Linked DNA regions of Macaca fascicularis. The protein of the gene in region 1 binds, or shares a complex with, the protein of each later gene. Links are inferred from orthologs where the notes say so. Each region holds a gene or a part of one and is shown on either strand. Other genes may lie near its edges. The genes, in order: mitochondrial import inner membrane translocase subunit Tim23, TIMM21, TIMM17A, TIMM17B and TIMM50.

Region 1 (3,511 bases):
AACCTTGCCTAATATACCAAGCTCTTTACTTTGGACCTAAATTATCTGGATTTCATTTAAACATGATTGGGTGCTGTGCTTGGAAAGGAGAGTGTGCAGTGTTCAAAAGATTTTAAAAATTCAGAAATGGTATTCAGAATGGTATCAGCACCTGAGATTATTTCATAAGTTAGTTCATGGTCTTTCCCTAAGTAGTATCTATATTATGCAATGGAATGGATTTAAACATAATTGTCTCATATCCTAGGACCAGAATATCGGCTGATTAAATTGTTCATGATATTTGTACATTCTTTCTTTAACAATTTATCACACGAGATCTCTACTTACCCAGAGAACCTAGAGTATTAGCCCAAAGTGCCCCTTGCCTAGTCACCATATTCAAAATCCTACCAGGGCAGAAAGAGAAAGAATCTGTATTTAGAATCATTATTTCTCTAGTAACCTTTAAAAACAATAATAATAGCTATTTAACATTTCTAGACCCAAGGCTCAAAATTTTTTAAATTCTAAAATATATCTTAATATCTCAGATTTCAGTAAGGATAGTTTTTACTCTACATAAGTGAAAATTAGGTTAAAACTTTCAAGACTTTGGGCAATAACTGAGGAAAACTCTTATTATTAAATGTATAATATAATGAATACACATTAAATATATGTAAGGCTTTGAATGACAGCCTGGAATGTATTTTAGAGGTTTACAGAAACTAATCCATGTAAAAAATGCCACTGTTAACTATGATGAGCTAGCTTCTAAAAGGTTCTTTTTGGAAGGGGAACATATGCTTAGAATGTTAAAGAGAATCAAAGTAAAGAATATCAAAGTACAGAATATAAAGTAGAATTAAAGAGAAGGAATCAGCCATCTAACTGGGATACACGGGGAAAGCACCCTGGGTCTGCTCCCAGACTAGAACCAAGCAGCCAAGGTGAATGCTCAGCACACGCTCAAGGAAGCACAGTCCTGCCTTGCACCAGTGCCAGACACCACCAGAACAGTGATGGAGGCAACCGGATGAAGAGAAGACATTCCTCTCCCAGCAGTGTAACACCATTCCAGGAATGGTTCTGTCCAGATGGCTGACTACTGCTGGAAATTATGGAAATACAGTAACAAAGAGTGAGGGAACTCATTCAGTTTAATTATTAAACAACTCATTTAATTAATATTCTACAGAAACAAAAATTTGTATTGCTTCTGAAAGGTTGTTTTAAAAAATCAGTCAAGTTTACAAACAGAAGTACATTGTTTCTAATTATGTTACATATTTACTAACGTATTTTTGGTTCAGCCATTATTTTTTCATTTTTAACAAGCATTTTAATAACTCGTTTTAAGAAAGGAATTAAGTTGTCTTTTCTAGATCTACTTCCAAATTTGTATTTAATATGATATTGGGATTTTTGTCTCAAAACAAGATGGGAGAGGAGAAGGAGATGGGATAGAACTGGCCATGGTTGAGGATGGGTTATGGTCCATGTGTTCACTATGCTATGTCTTTTGTCTACTTTTATATATTCAAAATTCCCCATAATACAAAAAGTTAAAAATATTATTGAAGCAAAGGACAAGTAATAAAAATACTGAAGGATCTAGGCTAGCAAAGCATGGACAGAGATCCACACAGTTAACAGGAATATAAAAAACAGGGCTAGGCGCAGTGGCTCACGTCTATAATCCCAGTACTCTGGAAGGCTGAGGCAGGAGGATCACCTGAGTTCAGGAGTTTGAGAACAGCCTGAGCAACACAGTGAGACCACGTCACTACAAAAAATTAAAAAATTAACTGGGTACAGTGGCACGTGCCTGTAGTCCCAGTCACTTGGGAGGCTGAGGTGGGAGGATCACTTGAGCCCAGGAGGTCAAGGCTACAGTGAGCTGTGACAGCGGCACTGCACGCCAGCCTGGGCAACACAGCAAGGCTGTGTCTCTCAAAAAACCCCACAATGTAACAGGCGTTCCAGTTTCCCATGGTCTAGTTCTAGCACATCTGGTGCCATCTGCTGGCTGAACAATATGAAAGGAAGATGGAGTTTAAAGCATCCTAAAACAAAAACAGTAGCCATCGAATAATACATACTTATGAAACATATATGAAGCATAAAAATAGGCAAAACTAAACATATTGTTTAAGGAATATCAGGAGGGACTGGCCATGTTTACTTCTTAAGAAGGGTGAAAACATACTTTCCAATCCTTTTAGCTGTACTTTCCCTTTTCTGCAACTTCAAGTTCTAACAGAAAACTGTGTCTTATCCTTTTGGAATTAACTCTAATTCTAGAAGTTTTATTTAAAATTTATCTGGCTCATCATTTCGGAAACGTAAAGTCAAGACAGTAAGAAGTTCAAGTCAAATGATGGCAGCTTGAGCCATCACGCTCATGAGCTGTTTATGTCTTCATTACCATTTCCTATGGATCCGCATGCCCCCAAACAATGCAAAATTCCCATCGGCAATTCAACAGTTTGAAAAGCATGTCACACAGGGTTGGAGAATGTGACAGGTGCAGCTGAGAAGCCAGGCTGGCATAGCACTAGCTGACTGAGGGACACGGATTCAAAAAATCACTCCTTTTTAAAAGCTTAGAGTCAGTAATCCGATTCCTTAGTTGCTTTTGAGTAGGATTAAAAAACAAAGACAAAAAATCACATAACTATGCTAACCATCTATAATATCAAGGGTGTACTCATCAAACCAACAAAACAGAGCTTAATATTCAAGTATCACTACATCAGATGGTTACATGAGACTTACTGTACATTTCTTGGTTTGGACCAGGCCATGTTCTGGGTTTCCTTCAATCCTAGCCGAAGACCATTCATTGCCCCAAACGCAGCCCCTGGTAAATCATAACAATTCACCCAGATAAGAGAGCTTTACATTAAAAAACAAACAAAGAAACTCAAAACTGCATAGCTACACTTCTGATTCTTTTTCATTTAATAGAAAAAGACAAATGTAAATATTAAAAAAAAACCCTGAAACCAACATTCTAACTGCTTTTGATTTTAAGCACCCTCAACTACTTGAACTGAGCACACTTGAGAAAAAAGTATGTAACACTCACCTGTCATGCAACATCCTCCGATCGTAAAGAAGGCCAGCTCAAATCTGCCCCGGGTTTTATTAGCTCCAGTAGGTAAAATAAACTCATCTGTATCCTAAAAGGATAATAATGAAAACCAAGCTGAGGGTCCCTCAAGATACAAATCTTGTAAAGTCATCTTTTTTAACATTTCAAAGTAGTTTTTCACAGAGAGTAAACCTTAAATTAACTCAAACCTATACTTAAATAAAAATAAAACTTTCTGCAACAGTAATACCTAAATCAAAGTGAAATGAAATAGGAAACACAGTTCTCAGAAGGGAGTCTCATTAAAGACTGTTTCCTTCATAACTTAAATCTGATAGATTTGTGCAAAAGTTAAGTTTAGAAAGGACAGCTCTAGAGAAAGGAATACTGAAAGCTATTAGAAGAATAGAATAGACAAGCAGTCTGGAAGAA
Region 2 (3,970 bases), on another chromosome or scaffold:
ATGGCACGCACCCCGGAGAAGCACCTCTTGGACCGGCAGCTGTCGTGGCAAGTGAGCGTAACCCCGACCACAGGCGCCGCGAGAAAAAATATTTCCCCGAGAGGCTACTCTACTTGTGTTATAACTTAGGGAACCCCACATTGCAGGGTAGAAAGGATTTCCTCCGGTCGTTCTTCCAGACCCTTCTCACGTTGAAGAGGGCCGCGGGCGTTGTGCCAAGCTGGACGAATAAAATACACGGTGGAGAGAGTGGGGCCGCGCAGTGAGGGGCTTCCCGCCAGCGGACCCCACCCGCAGGCCCTACAGTCACCTGAACCCAAAGGTCCTGGCGCGCCCCCGGGCCGCGCCACCTCCCCTGCTGGGCCCGCGCAGCGTCTGGAGGCCGAGCCAGTGCTGCTGCAAGATCCGACCGCGTCCAGTCGCCATGGAGACGAGTTCACCATAGACCCGCTCAAGGGCGGAAACTAGGAGGGCACGCACCGCCCCCACGCCCGCGCGTCGCCACACCCCCTTACGCCCATGCGCAAGTTCACAAAAGTACCGCTGGCCTGGCGCGTGCGCAGACGGCACCGCGCCAGACAGCCGCTCGCAAAGCGGGCTTCTAGAAACTTCCGGGCCCCAGCTTCTTTCCCCACCCCTACATTCTGCCACCAAGGGCGCTAAGCAAGTCCTCGGCTTAACCATTTAGGAAACCGGTGCCTGCTTTGCAGCGGCCTCGTTCATCTCCACTTGCTGACTCTTTTTTGTCCGGCTTTTCTGAAAACACAGTGAAATGCAAAAACGAAATCATTTGCCCACGCGGAATAGAGAAGACCACAGTCAGAGGGAGTACTTCCCACTGTGCACAGTCCACTCTAGAAGGATAAGGAAAACACGTAGTGTGTAACTGCTAATTTGGCTTTTGCAAGTCCCGCTTGAATTACGTAGGGTCTGTGGTACCAATTACCCCACCAACTCCCCGCCTTCCCGCCTCTCCAAGGACGCGCAGCGTCTGCGCAGGCGCTGGGCACGGAAGCGCCTGGGGGCGCGGGAACGGCCTGCGCCGTGCTCTGGCCGCCTTGAATTGTGGGAGATGTAGTCTCTTGTGCGCGCCCCATTGCCGCATCCCAGTTAAGAGCGAGGTCTTCAAACTACTATTCCCAGGAAGACGGGGGGTTTCCCAGGTGACTTTGCGAAGACATGGCGGGGACACTGTGAATGTCAGCCCAGAAGGTAATCAGAGCGTGTTGATTCAAAGAAAACAGAAGGGAAGGTAGACAGCAGGTTCTCCCTGGAGATTTTTCGTTTTCATTTACGCTGCTGAAGCCAACGTTTTTGCCTAACACGCCATGTAATGTAAACGTATAGGTTTGAGTACGTGTCCGGCCAGATGTGTAGTGAACCCGAAAACTTTCCTAATTGTAGTTAGCATCGTCCCTAAGCGGAACGATTTTCTGTGAACATGATTTGTACTTTTCTACGAGCCATACAGTATACGGAGAAGCTGCACAGGTCCTCGGCAAAGCGATTGCTTTTGCCCCACATTGTGCTTAACAAAGCGTGCTTGAAGACTGAGCCCAGTTTGAGATGGGGGCTTCAATATCAAAAGAAAACAGTGCGACCTAGATGTATTCTTGGAGTCACTCAGAAAACCATCTGGACGCAGGGACCGAGCCCCCGGAAAGCAAAGGAGGGTAGCAGCAAACAAGTGTCTGTACACAGGAGTCAAAGAGAGGGAACCGCCGTCCCAACATCACAAAAAGGTAAAAAGGAGTACTTCAATGATTGGTCTTTCAACAGACGTGACAAGAGCTGCCAATGCTCTTTTACACCAAGTTCACTACTAAAGGTGAAAAAGCAATTAACATGAATTTTTAAAAGCCGTTTAAACATAATTTAGAGCTAGAACATATAGACCTACAGTTTTCTTCACAGATTGGAACTCAGATTTGAAAGTTGATCTTGAATTTGATATAACTTTCTTTCGTTATGTTTGGGAAATTTTTCTCAAGTTGTATTGGCTCTGTTACATATAATAAAGAGTAATTGGATAGGATAAAAAGAGAGAGAGAGCTTATTGACTCATAATCAATAGGGAAAACTTTCGTATGTTACCTGCAATAATAGAAAAACATAAACTAGGGAGGATGGAATGTAATTTGTCAGGGAAAGTCAGAGATATGTTCACAGATATTTTAAGATTTTTTTTTAATTTCTTCATTTCGCATGTGATTTGTAGGAAAAAAAGGACAAAGCAATTTAGACCCCATGATTATACCACACAAAGATGACTATTTTTAACATTTTGCACTTTCATACACATACCTTTTAATAATTTTTAACCCAAAAAATTGAATCATATTCTACCAATTGTTTTGTAATCTGCTGAATATGCCAAAAACCTAGTTTTTCATTTGTAATAGTTCAGCACGAAGGAACAATCCGTATGCAGAGGTGAAAGGCATAGAAGTGGCAAACAGCATGTGTGTCAGGTAATCTGGCTCAGGCAACAGTGCTGCTGCTTGCACTGCATGCCAGGCCTGCTTAGGGACCCCTTCCCTGATCTGCACCCCATTCAGAGGTGACAGTCCTTGTTGCTGAATGAATGGATGGGAGCAACATTCCCAAATATGGAATATGCTGTGTCCAGAATTCAAAGAAACATTGTGGTAGTAGGTATAGGGTACAATTGTCTTTTACTTGGGAGGGCATGTCCTGGCACACCCCAGTGTAGCCCCATGAGGTCAGCTCATGTGTTGGTGAGCCTCTGCATCTTTGTTGGGCCCACCTCTCACACTTGCAGCTTGTCTGACCAAGCCTTCTAACACACTTGCCACTTGTTACTTCTGGGCTCTAACACGATAGTGTAAACATAGTAGACAAATGTGATATTCTGCTGAATGTCCAGAACAGCATTATTCAAATAAAACTTTCTGCAGTCATAGAAATGTCCTATATTTATGGTGTCCATTTGGGTAGTTCCTGGCCACTTGTAGCTATTTTGAGCACTTGAAATGTTGCTAAATTATGTTACTGAAGAACTGAATTTTAATTAATTTAAAATTGAACTGAAATACCCATGAGTGGTGAGTGGCTACTGTATTAGACAGCCCAGATCCAGAAAGTTTCACTCCCTTAAGACTGTAACAACAGAGGGTGAGAGAATTAGCAAATCCTGGTCAGGATCATAAACATACACTGTTATTATCTGTTTCATGTTACTACACACTACTCCTGCTGCTGCTTCTGAATAGAAGGCATTCTTCAAATCAATGGCCAATACCATGAGATTGTGTTAATGCACTGCCGTGTAAAGTTACCATGTGTGGTATTGCATGTGTACCCCGGCTGCCACTTGGTTAAGTTTGCAGTTAACCACTGTCATTCTCCAGCGCCTATTTGTGTTTTGTAAAGGAAGACTGGTAAATTACAAGGGACTGTGATAGGGGCCACCATGCCTGTATCTAAGGTCTCTAAGAATTGCACTCTTTCTGCCATTCCCCATGGATGTGATACCATTTTTAATTTATTACCTTGGTCACTGGGGCAGTTTCAGAGGCTTCCATTTGACTTTTCCCACTCTGATAGCTCTTAACCCACTTCCAAAGGAACTAAAGTGGGAGTTATTGTTGCCAATTACTCAGTACATCCCCTTGATTTATACATTTGGAAATCAAGGAAATTATTACCAGATAAGTCCCTGGACCCAGCTGTGAGCTTCTTACATGCTGTCGGGGGGGTGGGGGGTGGTCGGGGGGTCATCATGACTCTTTGGGTCCTTGGATATCACTGTCAGCACAGACTATGTCCAAGTTGATAACTATAGGTCCTTTTGGTGAAGGACCGGGGTAGTCAGTCACATACACTTTCCTTCAGTAAATGGGTTCCAGGTCTGAAAACTGGTTCAGGTCCAGAAACCGGGGCAATGTTCAGAGCTTTGCATTAGAGCAACTGCCTTCAGCCTCAGGAGTCATCTGAGGTTAATTTCTCA
Region 3 (3,997 bases), on another chromosome or scaffold:
TTGTATTTTTAGTAGAGATGGGGTTTCTCCATGTTGGTCAAGCTGGTCTCGAACTCCCGACCTCAGGTGATCTGCCTACCTTGGCCTCCCAAAGTGCTGGGATTACGACCCATGCCCAGCCTCAAACCTGAGCTTTAAACACACTTTCTTCTGGAGAAGGGTGAAAAAAAATCACAGAGTATCTGAAGGATGGAGACAAGATTTTCAAATGGCTATCATAATTCAGGTTAATTTTTCAAACAAACTAAAAATCAAGAAGAAACTATAGGGATATATGTTTGTGACAAACTGTTAGACCAAACTAAAATCATTAATTGTTATAATCTAAAAATAAAAATAGCTCCATCTTCAAATAAACAGAAAAAAACAGTTCACTTAAAATGAAAATTCTGCTCACCTCCTAACTGTGGAGCCCTGGTTTTAATAGCTGTCAAACTCCCTCGTAGTCTGTGGTTTACTCCCTATAACAAAAAAAAAGAAGCAACAAAAAATATATTAGAAGTACATTTCTTTTTTTTTTTTTTTTTTTTTTTTTTTTTTGAGACGGAGTCTCACTCTGTCCCCCTTGCTGGAGTGCAGTGGCCGGATCTCAGCTCACTGCAAGCTCCGCCTCCCGGGTTCAGGCCATTCTCCTGCCTCAGCCTCCTGAGTAGCTGGGACTACAGGCGCCCGCCACCTCGCCCGGCTAGTTTTTTTGTATTTTTTAGTAGAGACGGGGTTTCACTGTGTTAGCCAGGATGGTCTCGATCTCCTGACCTCGTGATCCACCCGTCTCGGCCTCCCAAAGTGCTGGGATTACAGGCTTGAGCCACCGCGCCCGGCCTAGAAGTACATTTCTAAGCCACTGATGGGACCACCAGTAATATCAAACCCACACTTCAAGTGATGATAAAATAAGACCATTCACCCACTTACCACTGGAGAATTGCGAAAACCTTTGATTGCCTGAAAGATACCACCACCAATGGTACCCATCGTAAAGGCCCCACCACAGTCATCCACAATTCGCCATGGGCTAAGAACAGAGGGGGAAAAAAAAGACCACATTTCTCATTCACAAACCATAAAATCTTTGCTAATACAGTAAGGATTATAATGGAACAGATTATATTGCAGGACCCACTGCAACCAATAAATATTTGGCCTATAAAATGACTTGAGGAAGTGCTATGACCAAACAGGGCAGTCAAAAAATCAAAGCAGTTTTGACTACAAAGCTAACCAGGTAACTGATTATATTGTTTCAGGACATACGTACTGAATGTTAAGGGGTTACCTAACGATTTACTAAATGAAAACCCAGTATTTTTCTAAGAATTTTTTTTTTTTTTTGAGATGGAGTCTCACTCTATCACCCAGGCTGCAGTGCAATAGCGCGATCTTGGCTCACTGAAACCTGTCTCCCGGGTTCAAGCGATTCTCCTGCCTCAGCCTCCCGAGTAGCTGGGACTACAGGTGTGCGCCACGACGCCCGGCAAATAATTGTATTTTTAGTACAGACGGGGTTTCACCATATAGGCCAGGCTGGTCTCAAACTCCTGACCTCGTGATCCACCTCGGCCTTCCAAAGTGCTGGGATTACAGGTGTAATCCACCACGCCTGGCCTTATTTTTCTAAGATCTCTAACTCAACATAGTTAAATATTTTAATCCTCTGCTAACCTGTGTCATTATACTACATCAAACAGCTATTTACAGTGTGCTGAGTCCTACATATCTGAGCACAATCCAGAATGGAGGATAACTGCTTTGAAGAAGATAAGTTTGAAGAGCCAGGAGACCCTAAAACTTACATTTTGTATGCCATTTAGGAGAGAAGGGAACACGAAACAGGCAACAAGGCTAGGAAAGCAGAGTAATAATTCAAGGCTAGGATAACAGAGTAATAACTCAAGGTCCTGGGCACTTTCACAAATTGAGGACATCTTGGTTGCTGCTCTCACACAATAAAACAAATGATTAATCGAAATATCAAGATTTGATTTTTTACTTATGACCCCAGAAACTTTAAACTCTCGCAACCTGAGACTTCTGACAGCAATTACATCGTTTTATAATTATCTATGTGTCTGGTTTATTCACATTCAATAAACGCTGGATGAAAGAATGAATTTCTGTCCATGGCTTTTCGGAGAACACATGCTATTACCTCTTCCTATTTCCCAGGTAATTTTTGTCCCCCTCTACCCACAAGAAAGGATTCCAAGGAGAAAAAAACATGCCCCCACTGTCTAAAGCAGCTTATCCAGACCCCTTGGCTAAAATCTATGTTCCATTCACTTAAAATGCTTCGCTCTGCGGACACCTATCATGATACAAGTAAAACCTCAAGAATGACACTCCCTCAAATGCTTGTTCTTCAGTTCCTCAACGCAGGAACTGAGCAAGGCGAGACGGAGGGACGCGCCCAAGGTCACCTCGGCGAACAGAGGGGATTATAACTGGCCCCGCATAAGGTCGATTATGCCCTGCGTTGGGAGGAGGTTCCGAGGTTCTATCAAACTCAAGTCTGGACCTCTCTACCATCCACCACAGGATCACACGGGTGCTGGGTTGGGAGAGCGAGGCTCACGAGGCCGGGAAGGTAGTGGGTACAGGGCTAAGCCGACTGGCCGTGAAAGACTGCATTGCCCACAGTTACCAGGCCCAAGTCGACAAGGCTGCGGTTGAGTCTGGCTTGCACCTTGGGAGCATGGACAGGGGAGAAGGAGGGCAGTGGGCAGGCGGGCAAGAGAAATGCAAAGACAGCGGTGAGGCTCACCAAGGCTCTCGCGCGTACTCCTCCATGTTGACTCCAACGCCGCGAGTGATGCCGGGCAAGCTGGGCGGAGCCTGACCCCAGAGGCGGAAGTGACCCCGAGAGGAGGGCGTTAAGGCCTATGAGGATTGGTTCACCGTTTCCCGCTGCAGCCAATGGGACCCAGGACTCCTGTGGACTGCGTGTGGTTGGGGCATTGGCCGCGACGGGGCAAGACTGGCACAGTCCATGTCCTCGAAGGCCGCGGGTCCCGGCTGTGTGGGCGGGGAGCTACCAATGACGGAGTTACACTACCCGGTCACCAGAGGTTCCGTGGCCTGACATCAACGCGATACTTCCTAAATACGCTTCTTTCCTTCCCTTCCCTTCCGCCTTCCCTTCCGCCTTCCCTTCCCTTCCCTTTCCTTTTCTTCTCTCCTTCGCGCCTTGCCTCCCTCCCTGCCTCCCTCCCTCCCTTCCTTCTTTCCTTTCTTCCTTTTTCTTTTTCCTTTTCTTTTTCTTTTTCTTTTTCTTTTTCTTTTTGAGACGGAGTCTGGCTCTATCGCCCAGGCTGGAGTGCAGCGGCGCGATATCCGCTCACTGCAACCTCCGCCTCCCGGGTTCAAGCGATTCTCCTGCCTCAACCTCCTGAGTAGCTGGGATTACAGGCGCGCGCCCCCAGGTCCCGCTAAATTTTGTATATTTTTAGTAGAAACGGGGTTTCGCCATGTTGATCAGGCTGGATCGAACTGCTGACCTCGTGATCCGCCCACCTCGGCCTCCCAGAGTGCTAGGATTACACCACCGCATCCGCCCTCTTTCACCTCTTTTCTTTTCTTTCTCTCTCTTCTTTTTCTTTCTTTCTTTTTTGGTACTTTTGCTGTCAAATGTGGATTAGTGCTATCTTATTCGTCACATATTGTGAAGCTGTTATTAAATACACGTAGCTCCTTTAGGGCAAACAATGTCTCAGTGATTTATAATAACCACAGTGCCTGGAATGTAGTAGATGCTCAATAAATGTTTGTGAAATGAAACAAGCTGTTTGGGCCATCTGAAGAAAGCCATGACCAATTTGGAGCCCTCGATTTCAGGGACATTGACCTCTCACAGGCCTCTCCACTAATGATCACCGGAAGGTGTGAAGATGTTTGGCTCGGAGAAGAGGGGACTTATGGGGACCAGGCCAGGCATAGTGGCACGCACTTGTAGCCCTAGCTATTCAGGAAACCGAGGCGGGAAGATGGCTTGAGCCTAGGA
Region 4 (4,067 bases), on another chromosome or scaffold:
AAGACATCTCCTATATCTATCTCCCCAAGTCCCTCACCTCCAATCTGGGGGGCTCGGATCCTCACAGCGTTGGTACTACCTCTCAACCGGTGCCGAATTCCCTGGGGAAAGGAAGGAAGTCCGTCAGGGCAGGGCTGAAGCCACTGGCAGACAGGTTTCCAACTTTTAAGAGAGGGAAAAAGATGGGAGACCTGTTAGAGGTATCAGCAGTAGAAATGTGGAAAAGTGGCCAAGAACTAGGGTCCTGGAGAGCGCCCCAACATGGGTGTTCTCAGAGGTGGGTTGAGAAGTGCTAATGCATTCATACGTTTGTTCATTCATTCATTCAGTGAATGATTAACAAGTACCTACTATATGTGCCAAGCACCATGCCATATGCAGAGATACAGCCATGAACAAGGTAGATCTGCTCCCTGCCCTCTCAGAGCTCACATTAACAGTGGGAGACACAGACCTTGAGCAAGGATAAGTAAACAAGGGCGCTTCAGCAATCTGCACTCTAGAGGAAATGCCATGAAGAAATATGATTGGGGCTGAGGGGTCAGGAAAGGCCTCTTGAAGGAGAGAGAATCTGTGCTGAGACCTTGATGATGACAAACTTGGGCAAAGATCCAGGGAGGAGAGTTCCAGGAGTCTAGGGGAGGGACGGGGCTACATATATAAATTGCAGAGACTTTGGCTAATAGATGGCATTTAAAGTCACGGCATTTGCGATCTTCTGGGAGGGGAGGTGGTCAGAGAAAAAGAACTATGTTAAAAAAATTCTCTCAACTTTAAGGCTGTCTTCCCTCTGCCAATTAAATTCCTGCCATTTTCCTCTATACAGGTTTCTGAGTCAGAATCTGCCTCTAGGTAAAATGTGTCTGGTCCTGGTGCAGTGGCTCACACCTGTAATCCCAGCACTTTGGGAGGCTGAGGTGGGTGGATCACTTGAGTTCAGGAATTAGAGACCAGCCTAAGCAACATGTTGAAACCCAGTCTCTACAAATAAATAAATAAATAAACAAATAGTTAGCCAGGCATGGTGGCGCAGTCATGTGGTCCTAGCTACTTGGGAGGCTGAGTTGGGAGGATCACTTGAGCCTGGGAGGCAGAGGCTGTAGTGACCCCTGATTAGGCTACTGCACACCAGCCTGGGCAACAGGGCAAGATGATGTCTCAAAAAAAACCACAAAAAACAAAACAAAACAAAACAAAAAACATTGGCCAGGCATGGTGGCACACGCCTGTAATCCCAGCACTTTGGGAGGCCGAGGTAGGTGGATCAACTGAGGTCCAGAGTTCGAGACCAGACTGGCCACCATAGTGAAACCCCAACTCTACTAAAAGTACAAAAATTCGCCAGGTCTAGTGGTACTTGCCTGTAGTCCCAGCTACTCAGGAGGCTGAGACAGGAGAATCGCCTGAACCCGGGAGGCAGAGGTTGCAGGGAGCCAAGATCATGCCACTGCACTCTAGCCTGGGCAACAGAGCAAGACTCTGTCTCAAAAAAAAAAAAAAAAAAATCTGTCTGGCTTTGCACATATATTTAAGATTTGGTGATGACTCTTTGAACGACACAGCATTTCCACAGAGGAGCTCCATTTGGGTGGGGTGGAGGGTGGAAGACAGAAGCCATGTTTGCAAATCCCTACAAAATCCCAGATACAGAAGCCAGGCTTGGCACACAGTAGGTGAGTGGCCACCAGAATGAATAAGTGCACGTGACTGGCAGCTCCAAGCAGTTTTCGGAGCAGCATCCCTTGTGGGCAAGACAGCTGACCCCACATCAACCCAGAGAAGGTCTGGACTCACAACAGGGGCATTGCGGAAACCCTTGATGGCCTGGAAGACTCCGCCACCGATGACACCCATAGTGAAGGCTCCACCGCAATCATCCACAATTCGCCATGGGCTGCAAGCAGGAAGGGAAGGATGGGGTTAATGTGAGCCCTCCCCCAGGCCCTGTCACACGAACTCTTTTCTAATTGGGAGAAACCAAGTCACCAGAATGGGAAGTTCCTAAGGAGAAACAAACACTTCAGATAATAAGGAGCTAATCCTGTCACGCTTTTTCCACAGCTCCCCACCATTAAAGCGAGAAATGGGGCAAAGGGGGAGAAATATTAGTCTTCGCCCTGTCTATCAACCAAGGAATCAGCCAACTGTTTTACTGTGATCAAAGATTAAATGAATTGGCACACGCAGAGTTGACGTTTCAATAAGCGACGTAGGCGTGTTAACTAGCCAAGACAGATTGTCAGCAAAGCAGGACCGCGTGGCACCCCTTCTCCGACGGTGTGCCCGTCCAACCATGCCCCGCCCCTTTTCAATCCGGCGCAACTGGGAAAAACCAAGAGCGACCGCGGGAAGCATCCACCGTCCCCGCCGGCCCTCAGCAGGTTCATCCGTACCCCGCCCCCACTGACAAAGGCGACCTGGGAAAAACCACCCGCGGCAACTCGGGATTTCCGGTCAACACTGTACCACCCCTAGCCAGGATGGATCGGCCAGCGTGTCTTTTTTCGTTAACAGGGACTAGGAGATTACGAGGTCAGGAGAAACATGGCGTGGTTCGGCCTTCGCCGCACCTTCTGAGGGGAGACGGTTGTGGCCCCTCATAACGGAGCCCGAGTGACAGGAACCGAGTAGGGGTAGCGGGAGATACGTTAAGAGTCCCCCGAGTCTGGTACATGGCTCTGTGCGGCCGGTGCCTCCCCCGCCCGACCCCCACGGCTGGCCTTGGCGTCGCAGCAACAGTCCGGATGCCAGTGCCCATCGCCGTACCAAGGTTCCCGAGCGTACTCCTCCATGGCGCTGGCGTCTGGCCGCGCAGTCAGGCCACGCCCCCAGCGTAGACGCACACCGGCGTCCAAGCTTTCCGCCTATTACCGGACAGCGATTGGGTCGCTACGCCGCATGTCACTCCAAGGGCACACTCTCATTGGCCAATCGAGTTTCTGCCATTTGTTCATTGCCTCCTGAGCGTAGTCCAGTTACTTTCAGGCTCGGGGAGTGAAGGCCTCATTCAGAGAAGGTCTCATTCTGTGTTTTGGGAAGAGAGTCGTGTGGGCCCAGGTATCGTAGCGGCGACACGAGAGAGACGGCCGGTGTGACAGCCGTCCACTACCTGCACGAGTGTATTGGTAATGTTGGGGTGGGCGTACTCTTTTGGAGCTGGAGGAAGTGCTGCCCTCTGCTCCCCCATCCCAGCGCTTTGGTTTCTCCCACCCGGCAGTCTTTGGGGGACGCTGGATGAGCCCATTTCTGAAGTGCGGAGGGGCCGGGCTCCTTAGGCGGGCGGAGCCTGGGCCTGGGAGAGGAACAGGGCCCTGGAGCACCCGGTTTCGGGACAGTAGGGTTGGTGAGAATTGCGATAATATTGCCACCTAACTCTTACATCTTTTAGTGCGTATGTTCTGTCCACCCAACTACTGGTTCATTTGAGTAGATGGGAGTCAGATGAGTACATGTTGACGGGAGGGGCTTGGTGACGGGATCCAGATATGAATCTATCTGAGCTGCTTGTCAGTTTGTCCGTCTGCCCCTAGGTCTATCAGCTATGCCTCTGCCCGTTGCGCTGCAGACCCGCTTGGCCAAGAGAGGCATCCTCAAACATCTGGAGCCTGGTGAGTCGGCTAAAAGCAGATGGTCCTAACACGTGCCAGCCTCGACAGGCACTTTTGTTGTTGATACTGACTATCGTGGGCCAACTGCACCAAGCAATGGGGTGGCAGGCATTTTTCATTGTTAACGATATGGATTCCTGACATCCATCTCTACCGCGTGTCAAGTGGAGCGGGTTGGGGGAATAGATATTTCATTCTTTTTTTTTTTTGAGGCGGAGTCTCACTCTGCACCCAGGCTGGAGTGCAGTGGCGCGATCTCGGCTCACTTTGACCTCCGCCTTCCGGGTTCAAGCGATTCTCCTGCCTTAGCCTCCCGAGTAGTTGGGACTACAGGCACGCTTCACCACACCTGACGAATTTTTTTTTTTTTTTTTTTTTTTTTTTTTTTTTTTTGAGGCAGAGTCTCGCTCTGTCGCCCAGGCTGAAATGCTGTGGTGCTTCACCACACCTGGCGAATTT
Region 5 (4,098 bases), on another chromosome or scaffold:
ATTGCACTACTGCACTCCAGCCTGGGCAACAGAGCAAGACTATGTCTCAAAAAAATAAAAAATAAAAACAAAAAAACACAATATTGAAACCAGTTAGGCTAGTAAACATATACACTTTAAAACTTCAGATTTACCTGCCCAATTTAATTCAGCATATTATTTGTGGAAGACAGCATGATTCTACAACTGCCCGGTTAAAATGGCACTCACCCACCTGCCCAGTTTGAAACAATCAATGTATTAACATGACTGTTTGCAAACGTCCCCCAACATAAACAGGTGGCTTTCTGGACCCACCAATTTCATTCTTCTCCTGGGAAGAGCCAGGTATGACACGATTGACAACTAATCTCTACTATCCAATTTGTCATAAACTTCACCACCAAAAGCTGGTTAACCAGATGGAGAGGGAGGAAGGAGGCGTTGTTTTGAAAATGAGCCTAATGGGGTAGGGGCTTGAGGGGGATGGGGAAGGAGTTGGGAGCTGCAGATGCTTGGTCGAAGACACAGGAACCCATGTGTCTGGAGATAGGCCACGCTGTGTCCCCAAGCCCTCCCACCCAAGGCTCCCCTCCCCCATCTGTCTCTGACCATCTGCTCGGGGCTGAGGGGCCAGGGAAGCGGGCTTGGGCTTTGTAATGTCCCTCCCCACAACGCCATCCAGCTGCTGGCTCCCCCACCTCCCCAGTGGAAGGAGGAGGGGCCGGAGACACCAGATGGGGAGAGAGACATCCTTACAAATGACAGAGTTGAGAGGGTCAGGGACTCCAGAATCTGTGCTTGTTCACTCACCATTGTCAAACTCATCAGGAATCTGGGAGGTGGAGAGAAAAATGGAAGGTTTAGGATGTCAGAGGCAGAACCCCATCACATACAGAAAAGGAATCTCCAGGACCCCAACAGGAATAGGCAAAGGTCACTGGGAAAGACAGGCTCACTCCAGACAAGCAATGTGCCTAAACAGACCAAAGAGGACCCCTCTCACCCACAGGCTAGGACTCCTGGCAAGGCCTCGGTCTCTTTCCCCCTCACCTTGGCACCATTTTCGTCCACTGAGTTGTTTCCTGCAAGGGAGACCAGGATGAATATGAGGAATTAGGGCCCAGTCCCCTGGGTCCTGAGGGAGGAGTGGGATAAAGGGCCTGGACTCCTGGATCTGAGGAAAGAGAGTTAGAGGCACAGCCTCCTGGATTCAAGCCAGGAGGGGGCTGGGAGCCAAGATTCCTGGGTCTTTGAGAGAAAGGGGGCTGGGGCTGGGACTCTTGGGTCTGTGGGATAAAGGAACTAGTGGAAGGCTGGATTTTTGGGTGCTGAGTAAAGACAAAGTTTAGGAAGCTGATTCAGGCCTATCCTTCCCCATCTTTCCCTCTTTCCTGTATTCTGGTACAGGAACCAACTAGAAAGACTAGAACCTTAAGGAGCAGAAGGGAGAAGAAAGAAGACTTCCCTGGTTTTCAAGGTAGGTGTCCTATTTGGCTGCCCTATTGAGGAAGGAGCCAGGGAATGAAGATGAGACACGTTGGTAGGGGGTAAGAGTGGGAGATTTCACAGTGGACTAGGGAGGCCAAGGAACAAAACTGGAAGGCAGGGATATGTCCCTCACCAAAGATATAGACGACGCTCACGGTCCCACCAGCTCCAAGCAGCCCAGCAAGCCAGAGCGCAACTTTTTTGGCATAGCTGGGACCCTCTGAACCCGGCTGCTGCTGTGGCCCTTGTGCCTTAGTGCCCCCGCGGCTCCCGATCTCTGCGGCCTGCGATTGAGAAAGGGGAGGTCAGCTAAGAGAGAAGAGAGGTCAGGATGGTTCCAACCTTCCAGTACAAGAAGAATCAAGTTCGGGAGCCAAGAGGCAGACACCCACAGAGCCCTGGACATCTGTGTCCCTGGAGGCGCAGTCAGGAAGTGGGGCGCTCAGAGGGTCAAAAGCAGACTGTCCCGCACCAGGATGCCAGGAGTTTTAAGAGCTAACAGGCCAGGTGCACAGGATCCTGAAGGCAACAGGACTGGAGGGTCTGCAGTCCAGAAAAGCAGAGCACGGAGAATAAGGGATGGGAGGGCCTAAACACTGGGATGAGAGGAAACGGAGGTCACAAGTGGTGGGGGAAGGGGGACAGACAGGACGGGGAGTTACGACATCCGGCTGCTTGGGGCTAAAGGTAGCAGAGTTACAGGGTAAGGGATGGGAGCGGAGGCGGGGAGGGGCAATCACTTGTCTGGGGCTTGGGGAACTCGGGTACAGAAGTGATAGAGTTGGAGGTCAGAATGGCTGGGTCTCTGTCAACATGGAGGCAGGTCGAATTGGAAACCCAAACGTCTACCTCATCACCACCAACGCCACAGAGAAAATAACTCCCACGGCCAGACTGGGACTCCAGCATACCAGGCCCCTCCTGCTCAAGTATCACCTGAGTGGTCACTGAGATGGGGAACCGGTAACCTTCTCCTCCTCCGGCACCCACGTGGGTGGGAGGTGGGGTCTAGAGGACACATCTGGGTTCCCAGCCTCCAGCCTAGGGGAGCAAGTGTTGTCCACCCAGGAGGCTGGGAAGGGCCCCAAAACGCAAGCGGCGTTTCATTCAGCACCCTGAGGTGAGGCGTCCCGGAACCCCCAAGGGGCGGCGATATGTCCGGAACTCCAGGGAAGGGACCCCACATTCAGAGTGCCACCCTCGTTCCGCTCACCTGATCTGGGGCCCGGGGGGGCGGCGTCGCCAACCTCGTGCACAGTCCCCGCGAGCCGAGCCGGAGCCCGCTCCGCAAGCGCGAGCACAGCGCTGCCGAGGCCGCCATCTTGCGCTGACGCCACGCGGCCCCGCCCACTCGCTCCCTTTTCACCCGCCCCGGGCCGGAGCTACAGCCAATGGAAGCGCGGAGGCGGGGCGGGTGGACGGAAGCCCGAGAGAGACCAAAGTCATCGGGCGGATTGCTGCAGGCGCGCTTGCCTCTTACCATTCTCCTGGCTGCCTCTGGGGGGGCGCCAACTGGGATCCAAAGTCATCTGGACCACGCCCCGCTTGGGCCTTGCAGAGCGCCACCGCCCCTGCAAAGGACGCAGCGAGGGAAGGGATCACACTCATTGCCCAGAGGTAAAGCTGAGGCCATAATGGAGTCAGTGGCTGCCTGATTTGTCCAAAAAAATAGTCACGAGTCAGGTCGCTTGTCTCACTGTGTAAGGGCATCGGCCCTCACCTCCCAATTGTCAGAAATATACATTGAGGCCCTGAAAGCGACCTGAAAAGCCAGTCCTCGAAAACTCTTTTGGCCAGGCACGGTGGCTCACACCTGTAATCCCTGCGCTTTGGGAGGCCGAGGCAGGAGGATCGCTTGAGGCCGGGAGTTTGAGACCACCCTGGATAACATAGCAAGACTGCCATCTCTATTTTTAAAATTAATAATAATAGGCCAGGCGCGGTGGCTCACGCCTATAATCTCAGGACTTTGGGAGGCTGAGGCAGGCAGATCACCTGAGGTCAGGAGTTTGAGACCAGCCTGGCCAATAAGGCAAAACCCCCTCTCTACTAAAAAAAAAAAAAAAAAAAAAAAAAAAAAAAAAAATTAGTCAGGCATGATGGTGCACGCCTGTAGTCCCACCTGCTGGGGAGGCTGAGGCAGGATAATCGCTTGAACCCGGGAGGCGGAGGTTGCAGTGAGCCTAGATGGTGCCACTGCACTCCAGCCTGGGAGACAGAGGGAGACTCCGTCTCAAAAAAATAAAAATTAATAATAAAACTCTTCCTCACATGGAGCTGGGAGGAGGAATCTGTTTTCTCTCCCATTCCTTCCTTTTTTTTTTTTTTTTGAGACAGAGTCTTGCTCTGTCACCAGGGCTGGAGTGCAGTGGCGCGATCTCGGCTCACTGCAAGCTCCGCCTCCAGGGTTCATGCCATTCTCCTGCTTCAGCCTCCCGAGTAGCTGGGACTACAGGTGCCCGCCACTATGCCCTACTACTTTTTTTGTATTTTTAGTAGAGACCGGGTTTCACTGTGTTAGCCAGGATGGTCTCGATCTCCTGACCTTGTGATCCGCCCGCCTCGGCCTCCCAAAGTGCTGGGATTACAGGCGTGAGCCACCGCGCCCGGCCCCTTCCTACCATGATT

Evidence for each region.
Region 2: mitochondrial import inner membrane translocase subunit Tim23 (region 1) and TIMM21 share a complex: the UniProt entries of both Homo sapiens proteins name them as parts of the TIM23 complex. The link is inferred for Macaca fascicularis from reciprocal best matches to the Homo sapiens genes TIMM23 and TIMM21.
Region 3: mitochondrial import inner membrane translocase subunit Tim23 (region 1) and TIMM17A share a complex: the UniProt entries of both Homo sapiens proteins name them as parts of the TIM23 complex. The link is inferred for Macaca fascicularis from reciprocal best matches to the Homo sapiens genes TIMM23 and TIMM17A.
Region 4: mitochondrial import inner membrane translocase subunit Tim23 (region 1) and TIMM17B share a complex: the UniProt entries of both Homo sapiens proteins name them as parts of the TIM23 complex. The link is inferred for Macaca fascicularis from reciprocal best matches to the Homo sapiens genes TIMM23 and TIMM17B.
Region 5: mitochondrial import inner membrane translocase subunit Tim23 (region 1) and TIMM50 share a complex: the UniProt entries of both Homo sapiens proteins name them as parts of the TIM23 complex. The link is inferred for Macaca fascicularis from reciprocal best matches to the Homo sapiens genes TIMM23 and TIMM50.

What each region holds. Positions count from the first base shown.
Region 1 is NC_088383.1:59,153,611-59,157,121, reverse strand, and holds part of mitochondrial import inner membrane translocase subunit Tim23, read right to left. Parts: intron 3,168-3,511; coding exon 3,074-3,167; intron 2,846-3,073; coding exon 2,761-2,845; intron 1,099-2,760; exon of another isoform or gene 898-1,098; intron 390-897; coding exon 331-389; intron 1-330. UniProt on the Homo sapiens protein: Essential component of the TIM23 complex, a complex that mediates the translocation of transit peptide-containing proteins across the mitochondrial inner membrane.
Region 2 is NC_088392.1:6,591,307-6,595,276, reverse strand, and holds the start of TIMM21 (mitochondrial import inner membrane translocase subunit Tim21), read left to right. Parts: upstream 1-1,161; 5' UTR 1,162-1,441; coding exon 1,442-1,742; intron 1,743-3,970. Other genes in the region: FBXO15 (F-box only protein 15), read right to left, coding at 311-426. UniProt on the Homo sapiens protein: Participates in the translocation of transit peptide-containing proteins across the mitochondrial inner membrane.
Region 3 is NC_088375.1:59,700,005-59,704,001, reverse strand, and holds the start of TIMM17A (mitochondrial import inner membrane translocase subunit Tim17-A), read right to left. Parts: upstream 2,805-3,997; 5' UTR 2,788-2,804; coding exon 2,762-2,787; intron 1,016-2,761; coding exon 916-1,015; intron 462-915; coding exon 398-461; intron 1-397. UniProt on the Homo sapiens protein: Essential component of the TIM23 complex, a complex that mediates the translocation of transit peptide-containing proteins across the mitochondrial inner membrane.
Region 4 is NC_088395.1:49,050,574-49,054,640, forward strand, and holds the start of TIMM17B (mitochondrial import inner membrane translocase subunit Tim17-B), read right to left. Parts: upstream 2,812-4,067; 5' UTR 2,793-2,811; coding exon of another isoform or gene 2,767-2,792; 5' UTR 2,759-2,766; coding exon 2,571-2,758; intron 2,533-2,570; coding exon of another isoform or gene 2,481-2,532; exon of another isoform or gene 2,325-2,480; intron 1,895-2,324; coding exon 1,795-1,894; intron 102-1,794; coding exon 38-101; intron 1-37. Other genes in the region: PQBP1 (polyglutamine-binding protein 1), read left to right, coding at 3,235-3,343, 3,531-3,608. UniProt on the Homo sapiens protein: Essential component of the TIM23 complex, a complex that mediates the translocation of transit peptide-containing proteins across the mitochondrial inner membrane.
Region 5 is NC_088393.1:46,561,465-46,565,562, reverse strand, and holds the start of TIMM50 (mitochondrial import inner membrane translocase subunit TIM50), read right to left. Parts: upstream 2,808-4,098; 5' UTR 2,792-2,807; coding exon 2,684-2,791; intron 1,755-2,683; coding exon 1,604-1,754; intron 1,065-1,603; coding exon 1,033-1,064; intron 815-1,032; coding exon 793-814; intron 1-792. UniProt on the Homo sapiens protein: Essential component of the TIM23 complex, a complex that mediates the translocation of transit peptide-containing proteins across the mitochondrial inner membrane. Has some phosphatase activity in vitro; however such activity may not be relevant in vivo.